Linked DNA regions of Xenopus tropicalis. Each later gene encodes a partner of the first gene's protein in a complex. Links are inferred from orthologs where the notes say so. Each region holds a gene or a part of one and is shown in the gene's direction. Other genes may lie near its edges.

The links. The genes of interacting proteins can lie anywhere in the genome.
Region 2: cnot2 (region 1) and cnot11 share a complex: the UniProt entries of both Homo sapiens proteins name them as parts of the CCR4-NOT complex. The link is inferred for Xenopus tropicalis from reciprocal best matches to the Homo sapiens genes CNOT2 and CNOT11.
Region 3: cnot2 (region 1) and cnot8 share a complex: the UniProt entries of both Homo sapiens proteins name them as parts of the CCR4-NOT complex. The link is inferred for Xenopus tropicalis from reciprocal best matches to the Homo sapiens genes CNOT2 and CNOT8.
Region 4: cnot2 (region 1) and cnot7 share a complex: the UniProt entries of both Homo sapiens proteins name them as parts of the CCR4-NOT complex. The link is inferred for Xenopus tropicalis from reciprocal best matches to the Homo sapiens genes CNOT2 and CNOT7.

The regions. Positions count from the first base shown.
Region 1 is NC_030679.2:59,346,967-59,353,040, forward strand, and holds part of cnot2 (CCR4-NOT transcription complex subunit 2), read left to right. Parts: intron 1-464; coding exon 465-590; intron 591-1,968; coding exon 1,969-2,093; intron 2,094-2,832; coding exon 2,833-2,953; intron 2,954-3,036; coding exon 3,037-3,193; intron 3,194-5,281; coding exon 5,282-5,343; intron 5,344-5,449; coding exon 5,450-5,499; intron 5,500-6,074. UniProt on the Homo sapiens protein: Component of the CCR4-NOT complex which is one of the major cellular mRNA deadenylases and is linked to various cellular processes including bulk mRNA degradation, miRNA-mediated repression, translational repression during translational initiation and general transcription regulation.
Region 2 is NC_030678.2:110,384,041-110,390,114, forward strand, and holds the end of cnot11 (CCR4-NOT transcription complex subunit 11), read left to right. Parts: intron 1-271; coding exon 272-424; intron 425-825; coding exon 826-1,028; intron 1,029-1,136; coding exon 1,137-1,339; intron 1,340-3,273; coding exon 3,274-3,370; intron 3,371-4,997; coding exon 4,998-5,195; 3' UTR 5,196-5,511; downstream 5,512-6,074. UniProt on the Homo sapiens protein: Component of the CCR4-NOT complex which is one of the major cellular mRNA deadenylases and is linked to various cellular processes including bulk mRNA degradation, miRNA-mediated repression, translational repression during translational initiation and general transcription regulation.
Region 3 is NC_030679.2:19,859,028-19,865,101, forward strand, and holds part of cnot8 (CCR4-NOT transcription complex subunit 8), read left to right. Parts: intron 1-2,272; coding exon 2,273-2,466; intron 2,467-3,534; coding exon 3,535-3,696; intron 3,697-6,074. UniProt on the Homo sapiens protein: Has 3'-5' poly(A) exoribonuclease activity for synthetic poly(A) RNA substrate. Its function seems to be partially redundant with that of CNOT7.
Region 4 is NC_030677.2:42,294,619-42,300,692, reverse strand, and holds part of cnot7 (CCR4-NOT transcription complex subunit 7), read left to right. Parts: intron 1-1,682; coding exon 1,683-1,876; intron 1,877-2,890; coding exon 2,891-3,052; intron 3,053-4,903; coding exon 4,904-5,048; intron 5,049-5,305; coding exon 5,306-5,416; intron 5,417-5,981; coding exon 5,982-6,074. UniProt on the Homo sapiens protein: Has 3'-5' poly(A) exoribonuclease activity for synthetic poly(A) RNA substrate. Its function seems to be partially redundant with that of CNOT8.

The DNA.
Region 1 (6,074 bases):
GCTGTGGGTACTAGACAAGTAGTAAAGTTACAACTGGGATAAGCATGTGCTGTGTCAAGTAATTTAGTCCAGGAACAGATGTTTTATTTTACTGAAGGAAAAGTTGCAGTCACTCTATAAACACCAGTTGTTAATTCTTATTGTAAATGGAATAGACTTCCCTGTGGCCCTCTGAGATTTCTGTAAGCTGCTGTCTCTCTTTAGTGCAGACTAGCAAAACGTGCTTAATTCCATAACAGTTTGCCATGAGGCAGCTGATGCCTATTTAGTATGTGCCATGGAGCAGCTGTTTTTTATTCAGTAGAATGGAAATCTACCGGGAGTGGTGTTATAATCGCCATGGTGTTTTCTCTCTTTCATTCTGTCTCTTTTTCTCTCTCTATATAGGATAAAGGTCCGAGGTGAGGACCGATATACACATATATATATATAAATATATATAAACAATTGCTGTTTTCTTTTAGATGGAAGTGAAAATGTGACTGGACTGGACCTCTCAGATTTTCCAGCATTAGCAGATAGAAATCGAAGGGAAGGTAGCGGCAACCCTACTCCGTTAATAAATCCATTAGCCGGAAGGGCTCCTTACGGTGAGACTTTTATGTTTGAAAAGGACCAGTAACAAGAAAAAATTAAAATTCTATATATTGTTATACATTATACCTGTCAGACAGCTGGATGTTATTTTATTTCAATGTGGAGAATTTTCCAAATCCTTTTTACTGCATGCAGTGTGCATTGATCAGTAAGGATTTTGAATAGCATTAGAATGTATACAGCACAGCTCAGAAACAATGCTGTGCACCAATACTCATTGGAAATGATAGCTTAAAGCAATACTGTAGTTTCTAGTGAATTGACACAGGTACCAGCTTTGATAAACCATCCTGCCAGTTTGATGAGTCCAAAACAAATCAAACAGTAGTGGATCCTTCTGGATTCCCTCAGTATTTAATAAATCAGTTTCACTATTCCAACTAGTTTATAACATGCTATTGAAAGTGCAACTCCACACTGTTTCACTGCAATAAAGTTAGAGTACAGGGTGGTGTGACTGTTAAGGTACAGTGTGTTTAAATGTGTAAAAAGTCTTAAAATGTGATACTTAAAAACCCAATTAATATGACTATTTTTGTGTACTTTGATGGAACAATACTATATATTATTGTTTGTGTAGTATTAGAGGTGCTGTTCTAATAATGTAGTATTACACAACAGACTATATGGTGTCTTTACGTAAAAGCTGATATATAAAAGAACATTTTTTTTATGCCCACTGTAAACTATAAACACTTAATTTAAGGTAAAAATGACCTGATCTACAAATAATGTTGCTTACATCACTAGTATGCACAGATTTCCCCCCCAAAAAAATAAATGGTTCTTTTCTATGTTTATATATGCTATTTGAATCATACTCTTTATCATTGAAGCATATGAGATGTGTTTTCAAATTTTAGACTGTGTTCCTTCAGTTTTCTTGTAGTTTAACATGTTTGTTGCTATTATGTCTTAGGCCTGGGTGCAGAGACACACAGCAGATATTGGCAAACAAACGCAACATTTTAGAGCTGATACCTGTCGCGTGTGCCTGCAGCCGGGCCAACCCCATGGTTCCAGGTGCAGGAAAAGTAAAAGGCTGATGATAGGGTAGGGACTGATTCCCAGACTGCTTATTTCTGCCTGCCAAAAATCAGCCTTATACTTTTAAATTATTTTTGTACTAGGGGACTTGTGTTATCTGACTAGTTTGTGGGTTGATACTGGTAAAGGCTGGCCTTTTTGGAATTTAAACTTAGCTTCAGGTGATGTTCTCTGGCTTTCAAGCAATTCCCAACTATCACAGTAGGATTCAGCAATGGGCAGTAGTTTTCTAGGTGTTAAAAGCAAAGCAGACAAAACCTGGCACATAGGCCTTTCGGGGAATGGTCAATAAAAACGAAACCTATTGTTATTTATCTTTTGCAGTTGGAATGGTTACAAAACCAGCAAGTGAGCAGTCTCAAGACTTCTCAATACATAACGAGGATTTCCCTGCATTACCGGGTTCCAGCTATAAAGATCCAACATCAAGCAATGATGATAGCAAATCTGTAAGTACATTTATTAGCTGCAAGTAGTTATCAGTATATTTCAACTGTTTTACAATTCTACTATTTGTTTTCTTTCGTAACAAAACAATGTATCTCTAGACTTGAAACCAGGTAAATGATTACCTCTAACAATATATATTTTTTGAGGTTGATATTACATATCCTCATTAGATTTCTTTTTTGTAATTAACATTTCTCTGCATTTGTGGTATTTATCCCAAAACCCATTATCTATAAAGCTCTGATTTATGGGAATGTCATCTCCCATACAGTCAAAAGCAATTCCAGTTGTTTTAAATTATTTCATTTTACACTGTAATGATAAACTGTACCTTGTAGTTGATCTTAAAATTCGACATCCTCTCCTGCCGAGCAAGATCAAAACAAATCAGTCCACTAAGAAGTTTCTACAATGAAATATTCTTTATCTAAAAAGATAACAGGCTGTAGCTGGTGCAAGGGAAAGGTTGGTGTATATTTACTGGACTGGTGATTTGTTTTTACCTTGCTCTAAGTGGAATGTATCTTTAGTTTTTAATTTATCAATGAAAATTGATATAAAAAGAACACACACATACAGTATTTCCTAACATGCCTGAATCACAGAATTGATTGATTTGGAAACATTGAGCATATCAGCTGCATTTAAAGAGCATTGATAGCCAGTTTGTTTTGGATGCACATTATAGTGCTTATTTTATTATGAATAAAACCAAACCTATATATTTGCTTTGTATAGAATTTAAATACACCAGGAAAGTCTGCCTCAAGTACAGATGGGCCCAAATTCCCTGGAGACAAAAGTTCCACAACGCAAAACAACAACCAGCAGAAAAAAGGCATTCAGGTTTTGCCAGATGGTAAGTATTGTGTAACCTGTATTAAGTAAATTTATTTTATAATCACTTTGGAGCACTCATTTTTTTTTCATGTTTTTGTCAAGGGCGAGTTACCAACATTCCTCAAGGCATGGTAACAGATCAGTTTGGCATGATTGGCTTGTTAACATTCATCAGGGCAGCAGAAACAGATCCAGGAATGGTACATCTTGCATTAGGAAATGACTTGACAACACTAGGCCTCAATCTGAATTCTCCTGAGTAAGTGACACCAATGAGTACAGATTTCTGTAGCTGTCATCAAAGTTGTCATGCTGAATAAAGTTGTGTTAGCATCGTATTCACTGATAACCCTGTAATGTATGATCTAGTGTTTTGAAGACTGCATTCCCTGTCTTGTGTTATGATTGTGATTCTAAATACCTGCATAGCATGGCAGTAGACTTGCAGGACAAGAAGATCCTCTAGATATGAAAAGACTATTAATATCCTTACTAGGGAAGCCGTGAGAGGCTTTAACCGAACTAACTAGAAAGGTGAGCAATCAGCTTGAAGCACCTTTCTAATTTGTTCACCTGCTGTTCTATTCCTACAATCCTATTCCTTACAATGCTTAGATGCATGGTCTGAAGGCAGCCATACATGGGCCCAACCTATACAGTATATGATTGATTGGCCTGTTGACTTAAGAGCTCTTACTGTTCAACCAATCACAATGTTGTATTGTCTGTTGTTTTTATTAATAGTTTTTCTGTTTGCTTGTTTTTTTTCCCCTCAGTGAAGCATGTTTCTTTAGCTGCAGAACAGGAATACATTGCACACTGTTTTTAGATCTATGCTTAAACTAAATGTCAGTCTTGCAGATATTGTTATTATATCCCTCCCTGTATTAGTATCTTTCAGCCAATATTATCAGCTACAGTAAAAGTGAGACTGTGTTAAAGGAGAAGGAAAGGCTAATAAAGAGTTAATCTCAAGCTGCAGGCATACCTTCAGTTCTCTCAATAGTGCCCTTAAGTCTCCCCATATTTCTCCTGTTCAGATGATCAGAAGCCTATAGGAAAAAAAAATGCTGAGCTCTGTGTAAAAAAAAAGTTCCCATAATGCCTTGCTCCTGCACCAAGACCAAGACTAGTGTACATGCTCAGTTAGTAAGACTATGAGGAAGCTTCCTGCTGATTGGCTCAGATCGCACTTTCCTATGAGGGGGAGGGAGTTCTTAGCATTCTTGAGGGAGGGGGGAGCAGGAGAGAGAAGAGAGCTTGCGTGTATCTGGCAGAGGAAGTGCATCATCTTTCCAACTGCATTTCAGTTGTAAACTGAAGTGTTCTACATTGTATTTTAGATTGCATAAGGCATTTTTAATGACAGTTTATTTATTTGTAAGCATGTTTAGTTTTTAATTAAAGAGGGATATTTTTTCTTATGTAGTGAGTTGATTGAACAAAATATACCATAGAATGAAGATGTGATAAATGAAGTCTGTGGAAGTGTTAGGCTGTCAAAAATATCTCTTGTAGGGCGTAATTCTGCTTGCAGGTAGGGTTGGCACTTTTTCTGTAATGAGAGCCAGTATTTCTAATTTTTCTTCAATATTTATAACACTGGCGTCTACCATGGTTTTAACTGGCGGGACTCAAACAATAATGACCAAGTGGCACTGCTAAAACTATGGCAGGCCAACTATTGAAAAAAAGGTTTAAACACTTCTTCATTTAATACATCAAATTAGTGGCATTCCCTCACCTCCCTATTTAGTTAGCCTGTTAACGAATTCCCTGTTTTTTTAATAATATTGTTATCCCACATTTCTATAGCACCATTATATATAGCACAACTATACAGACAAACCATACAGTCATATAAATTCATAACCATAAGGTTCCTACTGTAGGTAAATAAATAAGTACCCAACAGGGTCACTTTTATCAGGAGCTAGTTAATCTGCCTGTATGTTTTTAATTCTCAGTGTGGCATTGGGATTGAGACTGAATGGGAACTAATCAAAAACACTTATACTGTGTCTCCTTTTTTACCATAAAGGGGACTGCAAATCTCAGGAGGGGGTTGGAAAAATATAAACAAACCATGACCAACCCGAAATGATTTATTTAATGAATCAAAGTGTACTTGTTTTTTTTGGGGGGGATTATAGAGGCTACGGTGTGTCATAAATGGGAGAAATCGCTATGACTTTTTCATATAGAATTCTGGTTACCATATTTCTAGGGTATATTTTACAGATGCAAAAAAATTTACCTGTCTTTACAACATTTGCATGGGTTTATAGCGTAAACCTTATTTTTTGAACAAACACCTCAAGTTTATTTGTTTTAATTTTGCACCCAGAAATCTATATCCAAAATTTGCGTCACCGTGGGCATCTTCACCCTGTCGGCCTCAAGACATTGGTATGATTAAAATAAAATTAAAAAAAAGTTATTCACTTGCATGTATAATAAAAAAATTGCAGGATTTCTACATTTCTAATAAATGTTTTTATTCCCATGTGTTCAGATTTCCATGTCCCCTCGGAGTATTTAACAAATATTCATATTAGGGACAAGGTCAGTATTGTTTCATGCTCTATTACATTTTAATGCATTTCAATATACATGCATAACTGAAAGATCATATCTGTTTTTTTAGTATTAAGTGACAAGTTGAAAAGCACTTCCTTCATTGTTTTGATCCGCTATCAGGACACCTTTTATCCAAAAAGCTTTGAATTTCGGAAAAGCTATCTTCCATAGACTCCATTTTAAGCAAATAATTCACATTTTTTAAAAAAGATTTCCTTCTCTGTAATAATAAAACAGTACCTTGGACTTGATTCAAACTAAGATATCATCCATATACATCCTTATTGGAGGCAAAATAGTCTTGTTGGTTATAATTAATGTTTAAATTATCTTTTTCCAAGGTCCTTATATGAAAAACCCCAGGTCCCAAGCATTCTGGATAACAGGTCCCATACCTACATGCATACAGAGAGAAGTTTGAGTATATAGAGCTGTCATTTCAAGAGCAAAGCTGATTTATTTATTCATAGTCATATTCATGTGTAGCTTAATAGCAAATGCACCATAAGGGCTTCTGCTCTCTTTGACATGGTTTAAGGGGAAGGTTAGGGAAACAAATT
Region 2 (6,074 bases), on another chromosome or scaffold:
ACAGGGTATTTGTTCAGTGAGAGATAATTTTCTGGGGTTTCTGGATAAGAGATTATGTAATTCGAATCACTATACCTTACATCTGCTAATAATCATTTAAACTTAAGTCAAGTAAACTTAAGTAGAATTTTTTTGCTGCTCCTTTAGTACAAGGTACTGTTTTATTGCTGAGAAAAAGGAAATCATTTTTAAAAATTAGAGTGATTGTTTTTTGTTTTTTTTATTTTAAAGCTTACTTTGTTGTATCTGCTGACTTTCTATTTCCCTCCAGAGCGCCAGTCTGAGCTCCCAACACAGAGCAAAGCCAGCTTTCCCAGTATTCTTAGTGACCCAGACCCAGATTCTTCCAATTCCGGCTTTGACAGTTCTGTTGCATCGCAAATAATAGAAGCATTAGTCAGCGGCCCAAAACCACCAATTGAAAGTACGTTTTGTTTTATTGTTTGTATATGTGTCTAAAACCAAGGTTTTATATTTAGTTAAGTAGTTAAATATACATACATTTTGAAAAACTACTGTAAGAAGTGTATTGAAATGTCTTATTAGTTTGCTTCAAAAACCGTATCCGTCACACTTTATGGCCAAGATTCAAGCTATCTTTATAAAAGACCTTATTAATAAAAGTGGTCACAGATCCTATCCAGTATCCATAATGTACAGCACTGCAGGATTTGACTAGCATTTAGTATAGTTATCTTATGAAGACCTGATATCTTTATATCTGTCCTTTGCTAATTATGAATTGCACACAAATAAAGTTGCAATATTAAAAATTGCTGATACTCACACACAGTGTATCTGAACCTGTCTTTGTGATGTTTCTAGGCCACTTTCGCCCAGAATTTATCCGTCCCCCACCTCCTCTTCATGTTTGTGAGGATGAGTTAGCCTGGCTCAATCTTATAGAACCAGATCATGCCATTAAATGGGACCGATCCATGTGTGTAAAGAACAGCACTGGAGTGGAAATTAAGCGGATTATGGCTAAAGCATTCAAAAGCCCACTTTCCTCTCCTCAGCAAACTCAGGTAAAGAGTAATAAAGTACACAGTATTACCATGATAATATACACCAGATGAGTTAAACTAAGATTACGATTAACCAGTTTTTTTTTCTTCTTATATTCCTTTTGCTAGCTTCTTGGAGAATTAGAAAAAGACCCTAAGTTAGTTTACCACATTGGCCTCACTCCTGCCAAGCTCCCAGATTTGGTAGAAAATAATCCGTTGGTTGCTATTGAAATGCTGCTCAAGTTAATGCAATCAAGTCAAATAACAGAATATTTCTCTGTGCTTGTCAACATGGATATGTCTTTACATTCAATGGAAGTTGTAAATAGGTGAGTCTTTGTTTATTTCTTTTTCTAATAAAATATTTTGCAGGCACAGAACATGGTGAATTGAATATAGTAAGCCTCCAAGGAAATCTGCAAAAAAAACCAATAAACCGAGGGGGCAGATTTTTTAGAGGCTGGACACAAAAACACCTGCTTCTTATCACCAGAAGGGGGCATAAAATATATTTTTTTCACAATACAGTACTTTTTAAAGCATTTTCTTAAAAGATGCAAAACCATTTTTATAAAGTAAGATTTCCCATATATGTACACTTTTTTTGGTTCAAAGAATAGAATGAAATGTACCTGCTTAAAGCTAAATTATTTTATTAGCAGAGATGATTAAGAAAGGTAAATAACCAAGATTGTTAATAAGTATGAGACTTTGTCAGCCTCTGTTAAATCTGCCACTCACTGAACCATTAAGGGCTCTGGCACACGGGGAGATTAGTCGCCCGCAACAAAACTCCCTGTTCACGGGCAACTAATCTCCCCGGATTGCCATCCCACTGGCGAAAATGTAAATCGCCAGTGGGATGGCATACGCAGCGGCGCAAGTTGCTTCGAGAGGAAACATGTGCAATTTCAGTGAAATTGCGCCGCCGTGTATACCATCCCACCGGCGATTTACATTTTCGCCGGTGGGATGGCATTTCGGGGAGGTTAGTCGCCCAAGACACGGGAGATTTGTCGCGGGCGACTAATCTCCCCGTGTGCCAGAGCCCTAAGAAGTCATTCATGTTCATTTACATCTGCTGACAAATATACTGACCTGCAACTCTGAATTAATTTTTTCTTTTGTTGCTTGGTTCATTATAAATTCATTAACTAATGCACATTGAGCATGGGATTCCACACCAATTTATGATATCAAAGGTGTGTTGCTTTCTATATATTTTACTCCTGCTGTGTTTCGTTTTGTCTTAATGCTTTCACCTCAATTCTTAAGCTGGCCTCACACGTGGCGATTTTCGATCCAACCCTCCACTGACGTTCAGCGCTGAATCGTCAGATATGGAGGTAGAAACAATAGGATTTCTACCTCCAGCCCTGAACATAGATTTTGCTCGGGCACAAAATCTTTTAACCCACCTGATCGGCAAGTCGTCCAATATCTGCAGCTTTTTTGCAATATCGGTTGCCTTGTTGAGTTGCCATACATGCACCGAATATCGTACGAAACGAGGTTTCGTACAATATTATCGGTGCGTGTATGCCCAGCGTTAGACAGGATTGCTTTTCCTGATCTCATAGGCCTAGTTCTGATACTTTATAACCTAAATGTGCACCACAGAATTAAGTGCCGTAAGCTTGTTGGGTGGTTTTTCTTTTGCATTATATCTGCTTTTACACTCTACTTTGTGTATACATTTTATTCAAACCAGCCTTTTTAGCTGTGTTTAGTAAAACAAAGAATGTGCATGGGTGCCATAAATTGAAAGTAAAGTTTTGTGTAAATACAATCAAATAAAAACATTTACCAGGGCCCCTTAAATGTATGCTGGTTAGAGTTCATGGACAAAGTTAAATACCAAGTATAAAGTGCATGCTGCTGCTGTATAACAGTATGGTTCAGTGTATATGTAAAAATGTAAATACCTTAATGAAGTATAAATATTTAATATCTAAATCATGTTGTCATTGCTTAAATTTTTTTACAGTGCAATTTAAGATTGAAATGTATTTTGTTGCTATTATTGTTGTGTATCCCAACGCTGTTTAGCTTTAGTGTACCCAGAACTTGAGCTTCTAGTGCGGCCAATCTCCTTTTTCTTGTACTTTCTACCTTGAGGTGGCACACAATACAGTACTCTACGATGAGTAGGGAGACCTGCGGAGAAACCCATGAGTTAAATAGTAGGGAAGCAGCCTATCATCTATATGGTCTTGTTCCTTAATCTGTTTTGTTTTTTATAAACTGTTTTTCTTCTTTTAAGACTTACAACAGCAGTGGATCTTCCTCCTGAGTTCATTCACCTTTACATTTCAAATTGTATATCCACATGTGAGCAGATTAAGGACAAGTATATGCAGGTAAGAAACATGCAAAACATGATACTATCCATTCAGTTAAAGGCTATTTGATTTCTTATCCAGAAGATGGAAAGACAGTTTAGTGCTTTTTTAATGGTGACTAGCGCTTTGAAAAGTCCCAGCAGGCATAGCTCAGGGGTGAGTACTGGGAATGGTTTTGCTGCAAGGGATGTCATCCTCTCCATTAAAAAGCGATTAGATTAAAACTCTCATAATAAATGGAAAATGGAGATATCCAGCTATGGATATATTTACTAGCCTGATTTTTATGATGTAATCTGGGACACTCTTTCATTAACCACATCAATTTGCCCCTGCATGCACCATGAGTGGGCTCCAATTGGGGGGTGCAGCACATGATTCGGGACATTCCTAATAAATTCTATTGTTTTCCCCGTTTTTGTGATAGATTTTTAATGGTGTACTTCCTGGCATAGTCAAAAGAAAAAAATAGCAATAGGGCCTGTGATGTTGCCCATAGAAACCAATCAGATCTTTTCTGTTGTTTTCTAACTTGTAGGTGACTGTCTAATTGGCTGGTTTGTCTCTGTTAATAAAAATGCCCCCAAATGTAAAGAAATAGGGGCTCACATATCAAATTTTACAAGATTCCTGTACGTTTTAATAGAGGCTTGAATTGATAGGGCAGTTCAAAAGAACCTTTAGATATTGTTTAATCTCCTAGGATTAGTTATTCTAAACCAGCCAAAACAACAGCTGTTTGTGTCAAATGTCACTAAAGGCTACTGGCAGTGATTTTTTTGTTCATATATATATATTTATTGATCCGTATTTTCTGTATTGTACTTTTGTTTAGACACTTAACGTTAAAACATTAATCACATCCTGCTTTTCTTTGCATTATGACTAAAGGTCTTATGTGTTAGTTAAAGTATGAATTGCCCTGTATGCCAGGTGCTCCAGTAGTTTTGCATAGCTACTAAAACTTATAAAAAAAGAGGCAAACAGTTTATTTGCAGAGAATTAAAAATGAGTCCTTTGTAAAGGGAATTGGTCATTATTTTGCAACTGAAGAAGAGGGAAATGGTTACGTAAAACTAGTTGCTACAGAAGAAAGGGGAAAACAACCAAACATGGGTGTGCTGTGCTCTTATTTGACCTTTTTGATATATAATACTGTGTGGCCTCTTGTATATGGACACCACTTATAATTAGTGGAATTGATTAAGCTATGCCCATCATTGCTGACACAGGTGCCACTTGACAGTTCTTATGGCTTTTTGGTGCTAGTTTGGGGAAGTCTCTATTTGAGCAGGATTAAGCCCCCGTTTTAGAATATGTTGGACAGGCAGGTGTCCACCTACATTTGGCATTATAATGTATGTATGTTTTCCCTCCTTCCTTCTGAAACATTATCATGACTTCCTAATCAGATATTTCTTATTTTTATCTGATGTTTCTTAACATTTGGATTTTAGAGCTCTGGATTGACATTATTTCTGTGCTGACTTCCCAAGTACATGTATTTGATGCTGATGTTGACAATATTGTGTGTTTCATTTGCTGTAAACTCCAAATGTATTGTGTGGGGAGAGCTACAATTCATGTCATAGCTTTTCATGTATTAACATGCTAATGTATTTATTTTTTTGTTCATCTGTTACAGAATCGTTTGGTGCGATTAGTTTGTGTTTTCCTCCAGTCCTTGATTAGAAACAAGATAATCAACGTCCAGGACTTGTTTATAGAGGTGCAAGCTTTCTGTATAGAGTTCAGCAGGATCCGGGAAGCAGCCGGCTTGTTCAGGTTGTTAAAAACTTTGGACACTGGAGAAAACCCTTCAGAGGCAAAGCCTTCAAAATAAGATTTTTCTCATTGCCTTTGTAAAGAAACTGCTATCTGTAGATGGAGTCTTGTAAATTAACTTTTTTTTTTTTTTAATATTTCGTTTTAAGCATTTTGATGTACTGTGCTCAGGGCATAGTGTATTCCTACAGTTTAAAAGCATTTTATGCCCAGTAAATAGTTTTTCACCTGTACACTTTAGGGCAATTCCAGAAATACTTTTTCCTAAATATTTAAATTTGTAAATATTCTGTGACTGTTTGTTGGCTGGTTCGGGCTACATTTCCATGACTAATAGGTGTTGGAATAAAATGTACTCTTCTGATGCCCTTACAGAACTGTGAAAGTATTCTTGTTCATTGTTCAAAAAGAACAATGTTATTTGCAGGCAAACCGCTGCATTTATTACAGCTATGTGCATAGCTTTTTCTTTACTGGATACTTAGTTGATGGCATGCTATCACATTGCTGATTAAATTTGCTTTACTGCTTGAAACAGAATTAGGATGAAGCTCCATGCCTGTCCTGCCTGCACAGGGTGCTGTCATTTGGCACTGTGAGCTGTTGCCCTACTATACAGGTATGATAGTTAAGAAAAATTATTATTGCTCAACAAACTGACTGACTTTAATTTTTCAGTTAAAAATTTTGTCCACTTGGTATGACATTAGTCTATCTCCTATGCCCCACCAAGAACTTTGCCAGCAGGTAGATCTATTCCAACTCTTCTCTCTCTATGTAACAGACACGTTTGTTCTACAGCTAAACAGTAACTGCTACCTGCTGATTGGATGCCACAGGCTACCAGACCTATTGGAAACTTAAGACTTTTAATATATTAATGATTTCTGCTCCTTATGAAGGGGGCAAAGCTTGGACCCAAATGAGTGCTGTTTTA
Region 3 (6,074 bases), about 39 Mb from region 1:
TGTATAGGGTTTTGGCTTTTGACAGGCCTATTGGGATTCATCAGGATTGCTGGTTGACTCTGACTAAAGGTGCCCATACACGTGAAGATTTGCTCGCTTGGCGATGTCGCCAAGCAAGCGGATCTTCACCTGATATCCCCACCTACGGGGGGGGAGATATCGGGGAACATGTAGGCTAATTTGATCCCTGGGGCCAAATGATTGAATTATAATGGCGGTCCCCGGTCCGACTAAATCTTTTAACCTGCCCGACCGTTGTTTCTGCCCCTACATGGCCTACAGTCGGGCCGTGTATGTGGACCTTCACTCTTTTTTGTGCACAAGTAGTGTCTGTGATCATAAGCCTTAAGTCTGTTTTAAGTATAAGTAGGGCTTGTGTCAAAAATGCATTGTGCACATTCCTTTAATACAAAAATATAATCAAGAGAGTTATAGAGATATAAAGGAAAATAACAACATATGTATAATTTAACCCCACCCTATCCCACAATGCTGCCTATGTAATATGCTAAGAGAAGGAGTTTGTTCTCTATACAGGAGTTTAACTGGTACAGGTGGTAACTACCCCTTTCCACAGCTGCTCTGAAGATCTTAGTAGGTAGGATCGAGTGTAAAGGTCAATGTGCCACAATGTATTTAGAGCCCTATTTATTGGATTTATATTGAACTTGGGTACATTTGTAAGCTTATTCATTGTATAAACTCACTGTTTGTACTATTGTACAGTGCTGCCAAATAAGTTTGCAGTTTACAGATGTGTTAATATTAAATGTAGCACTAATGTCCCACAGAGAGATTAGCCGCCCGTGATAAATCTCTGTTTCCGCAGGCGACTAATCTCTCCAAAATGCCCTTTTTACCGGCAACAAAAGGAATTGCCGGTGGAAAGGCCTACACATAGCTGCGGCCCTCCAGAATGATATTAGACCTTGCCCTACAATAGTAACAGAGTAACTTAGGTTAAAAAAGTACATTCATTTAGCTCAACCTTTTATTTATATATAAAATCTGCCTAACTGCTAGTTGTAAAAAGGCAAAAAAAAAACCATACTGAAGCCTTTCCAATATGCCCAGAGGGGAAAAATTCTTTTCTGACTCCAAGATGGAGACCAGTTCATGGATCAACTTTGACTAAAACCTGTATTCTCTCACTTGCTAAAAAGTCATCCATCCCCTTCTTTAAGCTGTCTAATGTATCAGCCATGTAACCACTTCAAGGAGAGAATTCCACAAACTTCACAACTTTTACTTTAAAACCCCTTTTCAATATTAAAATGGCACCTCCTTTATTCTAATCTGAATGAATGCCCTTGTGTCTGCTAAAAGGACTTCCTGGTAAATAATCATTAGAGAGTTTATTATATGGGACCTGGGGTTTTCCAAATATGGGATCTTTCCATGGTTTGGATCTCTATACCTTAAGTCTACTAAAAATATTAAATCAACTCAATAGGATTGAGAATGAATTAAATCTTGGGATCAAATACAAGGTACTGTTTTATTATTGCAAAGAAAAATGAAATAGTTTTGATATATTAGAATTTTTTGATTAATATGGAGTCTATGGGAGATGGCCTTCCCATCATTTAAAGCTTTCTGTATATTTAGTTTCCAGATAATGGAACCCATACCTGTACATAGTTATCATATCCCCCTCTTATCCAGTATAAACAATTTCAACTTGGTTAGGCTTTCATCATAACTGAGACTTCCCATACTTGTTACCAGCTTAGTTGACCTACTTTGGACTTTCTCTAGGTCCTTTATGGATTTGCCTAGTGCAGTCCCATTAAGGGTATAAGTGGCTGCATATTTTTACATCCCAGATGCATGACCTTACATTTATCCACATTCAGCCGCCCAGATTGTCAGTTTGTCAACATCTTGCTGCAAGGATGCCACGCCCTGGATGGAATGAATTGGGCTGCATAGTTTTCTCATCTGCAAACACTGAAACAGTACAAAACCCCCCTTTAACAAATTTATGAACAAATTATATAAAAATTTCATTAAAAAAATACCGTCTTGTCCAGATCTGCACCTATTCAGCTATACTGGGATTTGTATATCTGACAGCTTTAGAATTAATATAGGGACAAGGCTAAATGCAGGGAGGATAACATTTTCAAACAGCAGTAAAAGCCTTATCTTAATATCTACAATAGACCAACAAAGTCAGGGGTATTTGTTTACAGTGACTCATTTAATTAATTTTATAAGCCTACTGTTAAATTCAGTGTTCATATTTTTATTTTTACATGTGTTTTCTTAGGACACAGAGTTTCCTGGAGTTGTGGTGCGGCCCATCGGTGAATTCCGGAGCACAATAGATTATCAGTACCAACTATTGCGCTGTAATGTTGACCTTCTGAAAATCATTCAGCTTGGGCTTACTTTTATGAATGAAAAGGGGGAGTATCCACCTGGGATCAACACATGGCAATTCAACTTCAAGTTTAACCTCACGTATGTTTGTCCTTTTCCATGCTTTAACAACTGTGGGTCATTGTCTGCTAAGAACTTTGCTATTATGGTGCTATACACCCATTTCCTATGTATTGCAAGTAAATTGTTGTTGTAAGGGTTGCCACCTGCCCTGTATGATTTATACTTAATGCCAATGTTATAAATAGGATAAAAGGCAACATATATAAAGGCTGGTATCTATTTTAACAAATATGGCAACCCCAGCTATTAACCGCTGTTAATAATAACATATATACACCTTTATAACTTTCATTCCACTATCACTTTGGCCCTGTTCCTTGGAATAACACCAAAATGTATTAGATTTGTCTTTAAAAGTCAAGTAATAATTTAGTTCCCATTCAGTGATTTGTGAAGACACAGTAGTAGCAGCTACTTGTCATGGCTACTAAATGCTAGGTAATACCCTGCCATAGACAATACTGAGAATTGCCTCTGGTAAAACACATGTAAAGACAATTATTGGTAAATGATCAGCATTGTCTATTTCCGTAGCCCTGAAAAGTAGCTGCTACTAGTAGCTCCATATGTCTTCACTGTAAAGGTGTCCATACATGGACAAATTCAAGCTGCTGATTCGGGTCCTTCAGACTGATTCAACAGATTATCTGTCCATGTATGGAGTCCTCCAAGAGGCCTCCCCAATTGATGTCTGGCTGAAAATTGGGCCAAGCCTTGCTGTTTAGCTTTGGGATTCATTGAATTGCTCTTTTTTGTTTTTTTGTTTTGTTTTTTTAACTGATAAAACATGGGTTTAGAAAAACATTTTCTTTTACCCAAGCGCTTTTAAATGCAAAATTGTGTAAATGTATTGCTTGTCAAGGCTGAGCAGACACTTTACATTACTATGATATTTTGGGTATTAGAGGTATTTTAGGTGGCTGCCTTGTTAGGGTCATACTACTGCACCCACCCTTATGAATACAGATAGATATAAGACTCCTTTGCAGGCTAATCACTGAAGTGATTTCAGTCCAAAAAGGATATAATGCAGAAAATTTGCTGTAAATGAAAAAAGTAACATTTTGTGTATGGCTTCTGTTACAGTGAGGATATGTATTCTCAGGATTCTATTGACTTGTTGGCGAATTCTGGGCTTCAGTTCCAAAAGCACGAAGAGGAAGGCATAGACACCCTAACCTTTGCAGAGCTGCTCATGACATCCGGTGTGGTCTTATGTGACAATGTGAAATGGCTTTCATTTCACAGGTAGGGTTCAGCATTTCTGATACCTTTTATCTGAAAAGGACTTTGCTCTCCGTTGAAAACTAAAAACAACATCATTATAATTTTTAAAGGGTTTATTAAAAGACTTCATTCAAATGGGCTTATGCGGTTAAGGTATAGTTAATCAGCAGCTGCTATTAAACCCATGCATAATTAAATTGTCCTTATCTGTAAACCTGAGACACTGGCAGGGGTGAAGGGGACATAGTAATGGTAAAAAAAACCTGTAATCCTTTAGTCCTATATTCAAAAAAAAAAAAAAAATGTATTCTGTTTATTATCATTTTTAACACAAGCCTTACTTCATTTGCTCATGTTGAACATATTGTTTCTTTAAAGGCATGTTGTGGTTTTTCCTACAAACACATCCAGTTTTTTACAGGTACAAACAGTGATTCTTAACTTTTATTTCCTTGGTAATTAATAGCTACTTGGGTGCTGACTGCTGTGTCTTTCAGCCATGGATACAGGAATCCCAGTACTTTATTGTTTGCTTATACTTGATAATAAAAAGCAGAGCCACCATCTCTGGCCATTCGAAGTCCTTTTCCCAGCTCTTGAGTGACTTGGTCCATGCACAGTTTAAGCCTGTGCTCCTGGCAGAAAGCAGGGAAAAGTACAGTGGATATAAAAATCTACACACCCCTGGTAAAATGTCAGGTTCCTGTGCTGTACAAAAATGAGACAAAGATAAATCATTTCAGAACTTATTCCACCTTTAATGTGACCTATAAACTGTACCACTCAATTGAAAAACAAACTGAAATCTTTTAGGTGGAGGGAAGAAAACCAAAAAAACTAAAATAATGTGGTTGCACAAGTGTGCACACCCTTAAACTAATACTTTGTTGAAGCACCTTTTGATTTTATTACAGCACTCAGCCTTTTTGGGTATGAGTCTATCAGCATGGCACATTTTTACTTTGCAAGATTTGCCCACTTTTCTTTGCAGAAACACTCCAAATCTGTCAGATTGCGAGGGCATCTCCTGGGCACAGCCCTCTTCAGATCATTCCACAGATTTTCAATCGGATTCAAGTCTGGGCTCTGGTTGGGCCATTCCAAAACTTTAATCTTCTTCCAATGAAGTCATTCCTTTGTTGATTTGGATGTATGCTTTGGGTCGTTTCTAGCAGAAGCCTGAAGGTTTTGTGCCAATATTGACTGGTATTTGGAACTGTTCATAAATCCCTCTATCTTAACTAAGGCCCCAGTTCCAGCTGAAGAAAAACAGCCCCAAAGCATGATGCTGCCACCACCATGCTTCACTAAGGGGCTGATTTACTAATCCACGAATCCGAATGAGAAAAATTCAGATTGGAAAACGAACATTTTGCGACTTTTTTGTATTGTTTGTGATTTTTTTCATCGTCGTTATGACTTCTTCGTAAATTGTCGCAACTTTTTCGTAACCGTTACGACTTGCGCGAATTGTCGCGGCTTTTTTCATAGCCATTACAAATTTTGTGGATTGTCGCGACTTTTTCTTAGCCATGATGACTTTCGGGAATTGTCGCGACTTTTTCATAGCCATTATGACTTTCATGAATCGTTGCGACTTTTGCATAGCCATTATGACTTTCGTGAATTGTCGCGACTTTTGCATATCCATTACGACTTTCTCGAATTGTCGTATTGAACACTCGAAAAATTCGCGACAATTCGCGAAAAAGTCGCAAAATACAGATCATTACGAAAAAACGCATTCGGACGCTTTTTGGACGTTCGTGGATTAGTAAATGTGCCCCTAAGGGTATGGTGTTCTTTTGGTGATGTGCAGTATTGTTTTTGTGCCAAACATATTTTTTGGAATTATGGCCAAAAAGTTCAACCTTGGTTTCATCAGACCATAACACCTTTTCCCACATGCTTTTGGGAGACTTCAGATGTGTTTTTGCAAAATGTAGCCTGGCTTGGATGTTTTTCTTCATAAGAAAAGGCTTTCGTCTTGCCACTCTACCCCTTAGCCCAGACATATGAAGAATACGAGAGATTGTTGTCACATGTACCACACAGCCAGTACTTGCCAGATATTCCTGCAGCTCCTTTAATGTTGCTGTAGGCCTCTTGGTAGCCTCCCTGACCAGTTTTCTTCTCGTCTTTTCATCAATTTTGGAGGGACGTCCAGTTCTTGGTAATGTCACTGTTGTGCCATATTTTCTCCACTTGATGATGACTGTCTTCACTGTGTTCCATGGTATATCTAATGCCTTGGAAATTCTTTTGTACCCTTCTCCTGACTGATATCTTTTAACAATGCTCTCTGATGCTTTGGAAGCTCTCTGTGGACCATGGCTTTTGCTGTGGGATGCGACTAAAAAAATGTCAGGAAAGACCAACTAGAGCAGCTGAACTGTATT
Region 4 (6,074 bases), on another chromosome or scaffold:
ATGCAATATAAGTACTTGTTTACATTAAAATATTAATATTTTTTTTGTCCAGTACAATGGGTTCGGTTTATATTGCAGTTATAATTTTTCTAGTGTGTAGAAACAAGTCAGGCTGCTTACTGCACTTATTTGTTAAAGATATTTCTAAGTAGAACTAAAGCCTAAAAAAAAAGAATATGGCTAGAAATGCTGTATTTTCTATTCTAAGCTAATTGTAGCAGCTTTATGATAGTAAAGATCCATGGGCTCAACTGCTAAAGGTGTATGGTGGCCATGGTCTGGTAAGGTGCCTGCCATTGGGTAGGCTAGGTAGCAACTAAAACTCTTAGAATAGTGGCACACGGTGCTGTTTCAGGGACTTTGATTAACATATTTTTAAAGGAGAACTTTACTTCCGGATGGCACTCTTTGCCTAGACCCCCCCCCCACCTCTCCCATATCGCATTGTTTTCAAGTTTACACTCTGTCCCTATTGCTGACTGCTAGCTAAAAATGCAGACAAGCGCAACCGCGTACCTCGCCAACATCTTACCGACTGAAGACTCTTTGGGTCTCACAGCCGACACCTAACCTGCTTGAGAATGCGCAGTTGAAGCAGATTTCCTGCTACCTACAACTACTCATGCGCAAGCAGGTTCGTATCGGCGGTGAGACCCAAAGTGTCTTCAGTTGGTAAGAAAATGTCGGCCAGGTACGCGGCTGCGCTTCTTTGCATTTTTAGTTAGTGATAGGGACAGAGTATAAACTTAAAAACTATGCGATAAGTGAAAGGTGAGGGGGTCTAGGCAGTGATAGTTAATGGTGTGTTTTGCACCCAGGTGTATAGTTCTCCTTTAAGTAGCCCAAAAACTTGAAGACAAAATTTCCACAGAGTTTTATTGAAATCAACTGATGATAGTTTGTGTCAGAGTTTGCTAGATGAGAGTTGCCTGTAAAAGTGTACAGATGCTATCTAATAAATTATGTAGACGCAGCAACACATATATAGTGAATAAAGTACCTATTATTGTAAAATATAGGGATATTATAAGTCACAGAGGAGTTCCATAACCATATAAAAGCACAAGGCCGTGTGCTCTTAAACAGGTCATGGAACTCTGAGGTGACTTCTAATATCCTCATATTTTACAACACGGGGTACTTTATTATAATATATAAGTTATAGTGAGTCATATGACAGAAGTTACATCACTAAACTATGATTTTAACTGAGGACATCACTTAGCACCGTTTATAAGGATATAATGTACAGCTTAGTCCCATAGGGAAATGACCAAACTGTATATTATAACAAGATCATTTCAATATTTGTCCTACCTATATTATTATAGTAGAAAATATAATGTGGAATCTCTAATACTGCCATAGCTATTGCTGTCTGTGAAAGCTAAGCTATAAAACAAGATTAGGCAACTTTCTTGACAGGGCGGAAGTACAAAGCGCATAAGGAAATGCAGGGGACAAGATTAACTGGACATGTTAACTGGACAAATCTGACGATAAGAAGGCATAAAAAGTAAATATATGTATTTTGTTTAAAGATATCTCTTATTTCGACACACTGTTCCAAATTATTCAGAGGTATCTTAAACATTATTTTTCCAAGTGCTACTGTTTTGATGAGCACATCCTTACAACCACCTTTAAAGGTTGCAAATTATTTGTCGCATTATCCATTGCAGGACACAGAGTTTCCAGGAGTTGTTGCAAGACCAATAGGGGAATTCCGAAGCAATGCTGACTATCAATACCAACTTCTTCGTTGTAATGTTGACCTGTTAAAGATAATACAATTGGGTCTGACGTTTGTGAATGAACAAGGAGAATACCCACCAGGAACCTCAACGTGGCAATTTAATTTTAAATTTAATTTAACGTAAGTTGCACAGATTATCTATATTTATTAGAATTAATAGAAGTAGTGGCAAAAAGTTATATTAATTAAATAGCTTAAAATATTTCATTTTTTAAATTAATGTTGTAGTTATCTAGTTACCTACAAGCATACATTTACTAATAGTTGAAGATAATGTAAAAAGTATTGATTGCTAGAATGCATATCAGTATGTCCTGCAGTGGGTGCAAGCCTCTGTTCTGTGATTTCATGTGAGTTTACCATAGTCTCAGCCGGAAACTTGCAGCCCCAGCCCCAATTACTACCTCTAGTTTAAAGGGCAACTAGATTAGCCAACATCTAGAAGCAAGCAGGAGATATAGGGAGGATAACACGACCTGCATAAGGTTTCTGCTTATGGAAAGCAGTACAGCAACCAATCCATTATTCCCCAAAAGCAAACTTTATGCGCTATTTTAACAGAAATATAGTGTAACTATAATAAAAAGCTAAAAAGAAACGTTTTGGAGCCACTACGGAAAACAAATATTTTTATAGATATGTTTATGCTGTGTTTATGCTTGTTTTCACTTTGAGTTCTTTCTATAACCAGATACTTATAGCAACATGGAATGGAAACTGGCTTATTTAAATAGGAAATGCCCTTTGTTTATAAGTCGTTTTTAAAATGATTTCCTATAACTAGCAAAATATAAGAATAATATTGATTATATATGCATTTTAGACTGACAAAGGCATATATTATTTGCTGCATTACCAAGTCCAACTCTGCTGTTCCTAAAGCTGTATCTGTTTGCTATGGTCAATATTGTAGCAGAGATAATAATATTTCAGAGATGGGATTAATGTTCTTACTAAATATTTGTTGTGGCAATAAAATTACATTTAAACTAGGAAGGTGAGGACACCATCATAACAGATGCACTTAGTCCTATTAATTTTGTTAATGTACATTTGCTGTATATTGGTAAATTGAGTCTGTGAAATCTTGTATCAGATCTCTGTATAGGAGACTTTCTATGGTCTCTTCTGCAGGGAAGACATGTACGCCCAAGATTCTATAGAGCTGCTCACATCCTCCGGGATCCAGTTTAAAAAGCATGAGGAAGAAGGCATTGAAACCCAATATTTTGCAGAGTTATTTATGACGTCTGGGGTAGTCCTTTGTGAAGGAGTAAAATGGCTTTCCTTTCACAGGTAAGTTACACTGTAATATTAAATGGCCATTAATATCCTGTAAATTATATCCTTAATAAACAGTGCTTAGTGTTGACATCAGTTATAATTGGTGCTTAGTGAAGTCATTTTTGTTACATGACTCACTGAAACCTGTGTATTGTAATAAATAAAGCACCCCCTTTTGTAAAATATGAGGATATTAGAAGTCACCTTGGAGTTCCATGACCTGTATAAAAGCATAAGGCCAAAGGTACATTATTTACTATATAATACACAAGTTTTATGAATATCCTGTAAATTATATCTGTATAATCAGCTAACTGATGTCATTGCTTAGAGTGGGCAAAAGTCCCTAAAACAAGAACTAAAAGACATGTGAACCCTTACATTTTTCTACCATGTTTTTAAGTTGGGCTCTTTTTTCCCACCCCCACTGCATCATTTGAACTGCATATATTCCCTCTTTTCCAGAACCATCACATTTTCATAAAACAAATAGCAGCTTTCACCAGATGGCCATTTTCTCTCTGACATCATCTGGGACATTTACATCTGCAAACAGCACATGTAGACTGTAAAGTTCATGCAATGAAAAATGCAGGCTTACATAGGCAGAACTTACTGATAAAAAGTCCTGCTTTAAACAGTTAAACTGAGCTCAGGACAGGAGGTTAGAAGAAAAAAAAAACATGTTTCTCCAGCAAAGTGCCATCTCTTCATTGGCTGCTAGACTGGAGGGTGTGTTTGGTAACCTGAGTTGAGAAGAACTGAGCATGCTCAGTAAGCCAAGAGCCAGAGCAAATACCTACAGGAGGGGGAAGTGGCTTAGAGGAGGAGAAGGAATCCTAAGTGATTAAGGGGATGCTGCTGCCTTACTATTAACCTTTGAACAACGCGTGTGTGTGTGTGTGTGTGTGTGTGTCCAAACTTCCTGTGTTCCTATGTTTTTAAAGTGAAATGTAATGGAACTATGTGTCAACATTTGCATATATGTTGTCTTTTAACACACTGCCTAACTAAATGTCATTTGGCAAGGGGTGCCTAAACTTTTGCATTCAACTATATGACTATGTATAATATGAGGATATTAGAAATCACCTGGCAGTTCCATGTTTAAAAGCACTCTGCTTTTGGCAATGAACCTTTACATTGCCATGTGATTTCTTCTTGTTACAATTTACTAGAGGGCTATTCTATCCAAGTATACCTCTGTCATCTCAATACAAGCAAGAGAAGCAATGCTCTTCCTCCAGTAAATTATGTTGGGAAGCATCATCTCTATTCTGGAAGTTTCCACTAGAGATCCTGTATTTTTTTAGTCTGCTGCTTTCCTCAGCAGTTCTTTTATTGCAGTGTTGTTCTTTTCTACACAGGATTTGGCGCACTCTGTGCAATCAGAACAATGAGACGGTCTTTGTCAGGTCATTGTTTTACCATAGTTGCTTACCCTTTCTACTATAGAGCAATGCCCTCTATTCATAATGTGTTATGTCACATTGCACTGTATGTTTGTAATGAGCTAGGCTGAACATTTAATAATATTATCAACATTATCTTGATATAATACGCAAGAGCCATGAATTCCCAGTGAATTATATCCTTATAATTGATTATAGCAGTTATAATTGTTGTAATTTCTGTCACATGACTCACTATAAATATAATAAACAATGTACCCCCTGTTCTAAAATAAAGTCACTTTGGAGTTCCATGACTGGTACTGCAAATGTTATTTGCCTATGTAGAATTTAAAAAGGGACATCTGATGATTAAAAGCATACATGCATTAATACACATAAGCCAAACTTGTCTGTGACTGTAAATGTGTTCCTTTTTTCCTGATCTTTTCTGTACCCCTTCCCATTGCAGTGGCTATGACTTTGGCTACCTAATAAAAATTCTGACAAATTCAAACCTGCCTGAGGTAGAACTAGACTTTTTTGAAATCCTGCGCCTGTTTTTCCCAGTGATATACGATGTCAAATACCTGATGAAAAGCTGCAAAAATCTCAAGGTGGGTGAGACTAAAATGCACTGGCCTTATTTTGTAAACCATGGTGGAAATCTGGGTACTTTTCTTCTAAAATTCTTTTAGCTAAATATTACTCATTAGTTTGGTTTTGGTTTTGGTTTCTACAGCAGACCAGCAGCCATTGTGTCGTAGATAGAGATGAATCAAATCCATCATTTTTGGATTCCACTACAAGAATTAATAGAGGGACATGGTATTTGGGTTGTATTCTGTAAAACTTTCCCATTGTCTCCTGGCAGGGTGGATTGCAGGAAGTGGCAGAGCAGCTGGAACTCAAGCGTATTGGTCCTCAGCATCAAGCAGGCTCTGACTCATTACTTACTGGAATGGCATTCTTTAAAATGAGAGAGGTAAGTTCACATGTTATTGATATGCTTGTATGTGGTAATTTTGAAGTTGGGAAGGAAATATTAGAGTAGTAGCTAATGCCAACATAAAGAAACCACTAGCAAAATAGCTTGGAAGCCCCTATTCCTTAAATCAACCCTGCATGATCCCCTTTATATGTAGTGGTTTGGCCCCTGATATTTCCTGTCCCTGCAGGCAGCTTGCGCCTTGGCAGGGGTCTGGGGTTTACCTGCTCCTGGGTGACTTTAGATGCATGTGTGTGAGATGCCTAGTTCAGCCCATAAAATTGTGCATTCTTTTAGATGCCTCTGACATGTCCAGAACCTATTGTGATCAATCAGTTGGCCAGTCAGAGAATGTGTAGCACTAGTAGTTAGGGGGGCATGCAGACATGTTACTTATATACTCAAGTGGTTGTAAGTATCTTTGAATTACTACTTGCTGTAGGTATGTTTTTCAGGGTAAACTGCCTGGATGTGTTGTTTCAGTGTTAATACTACTGTATGTCGTTTTTTAGCCAATCGCTTCTGACCAGTGGTATTTTTGTGTGTTTATGTTCATTTTCAGATGTTCTTTGAAGATCACATAGATGATGCAAAATACTGTGGCCATTTATATGGTCTGGGATCCGGATCGTCTTATGTACAGAATGGTACAGGA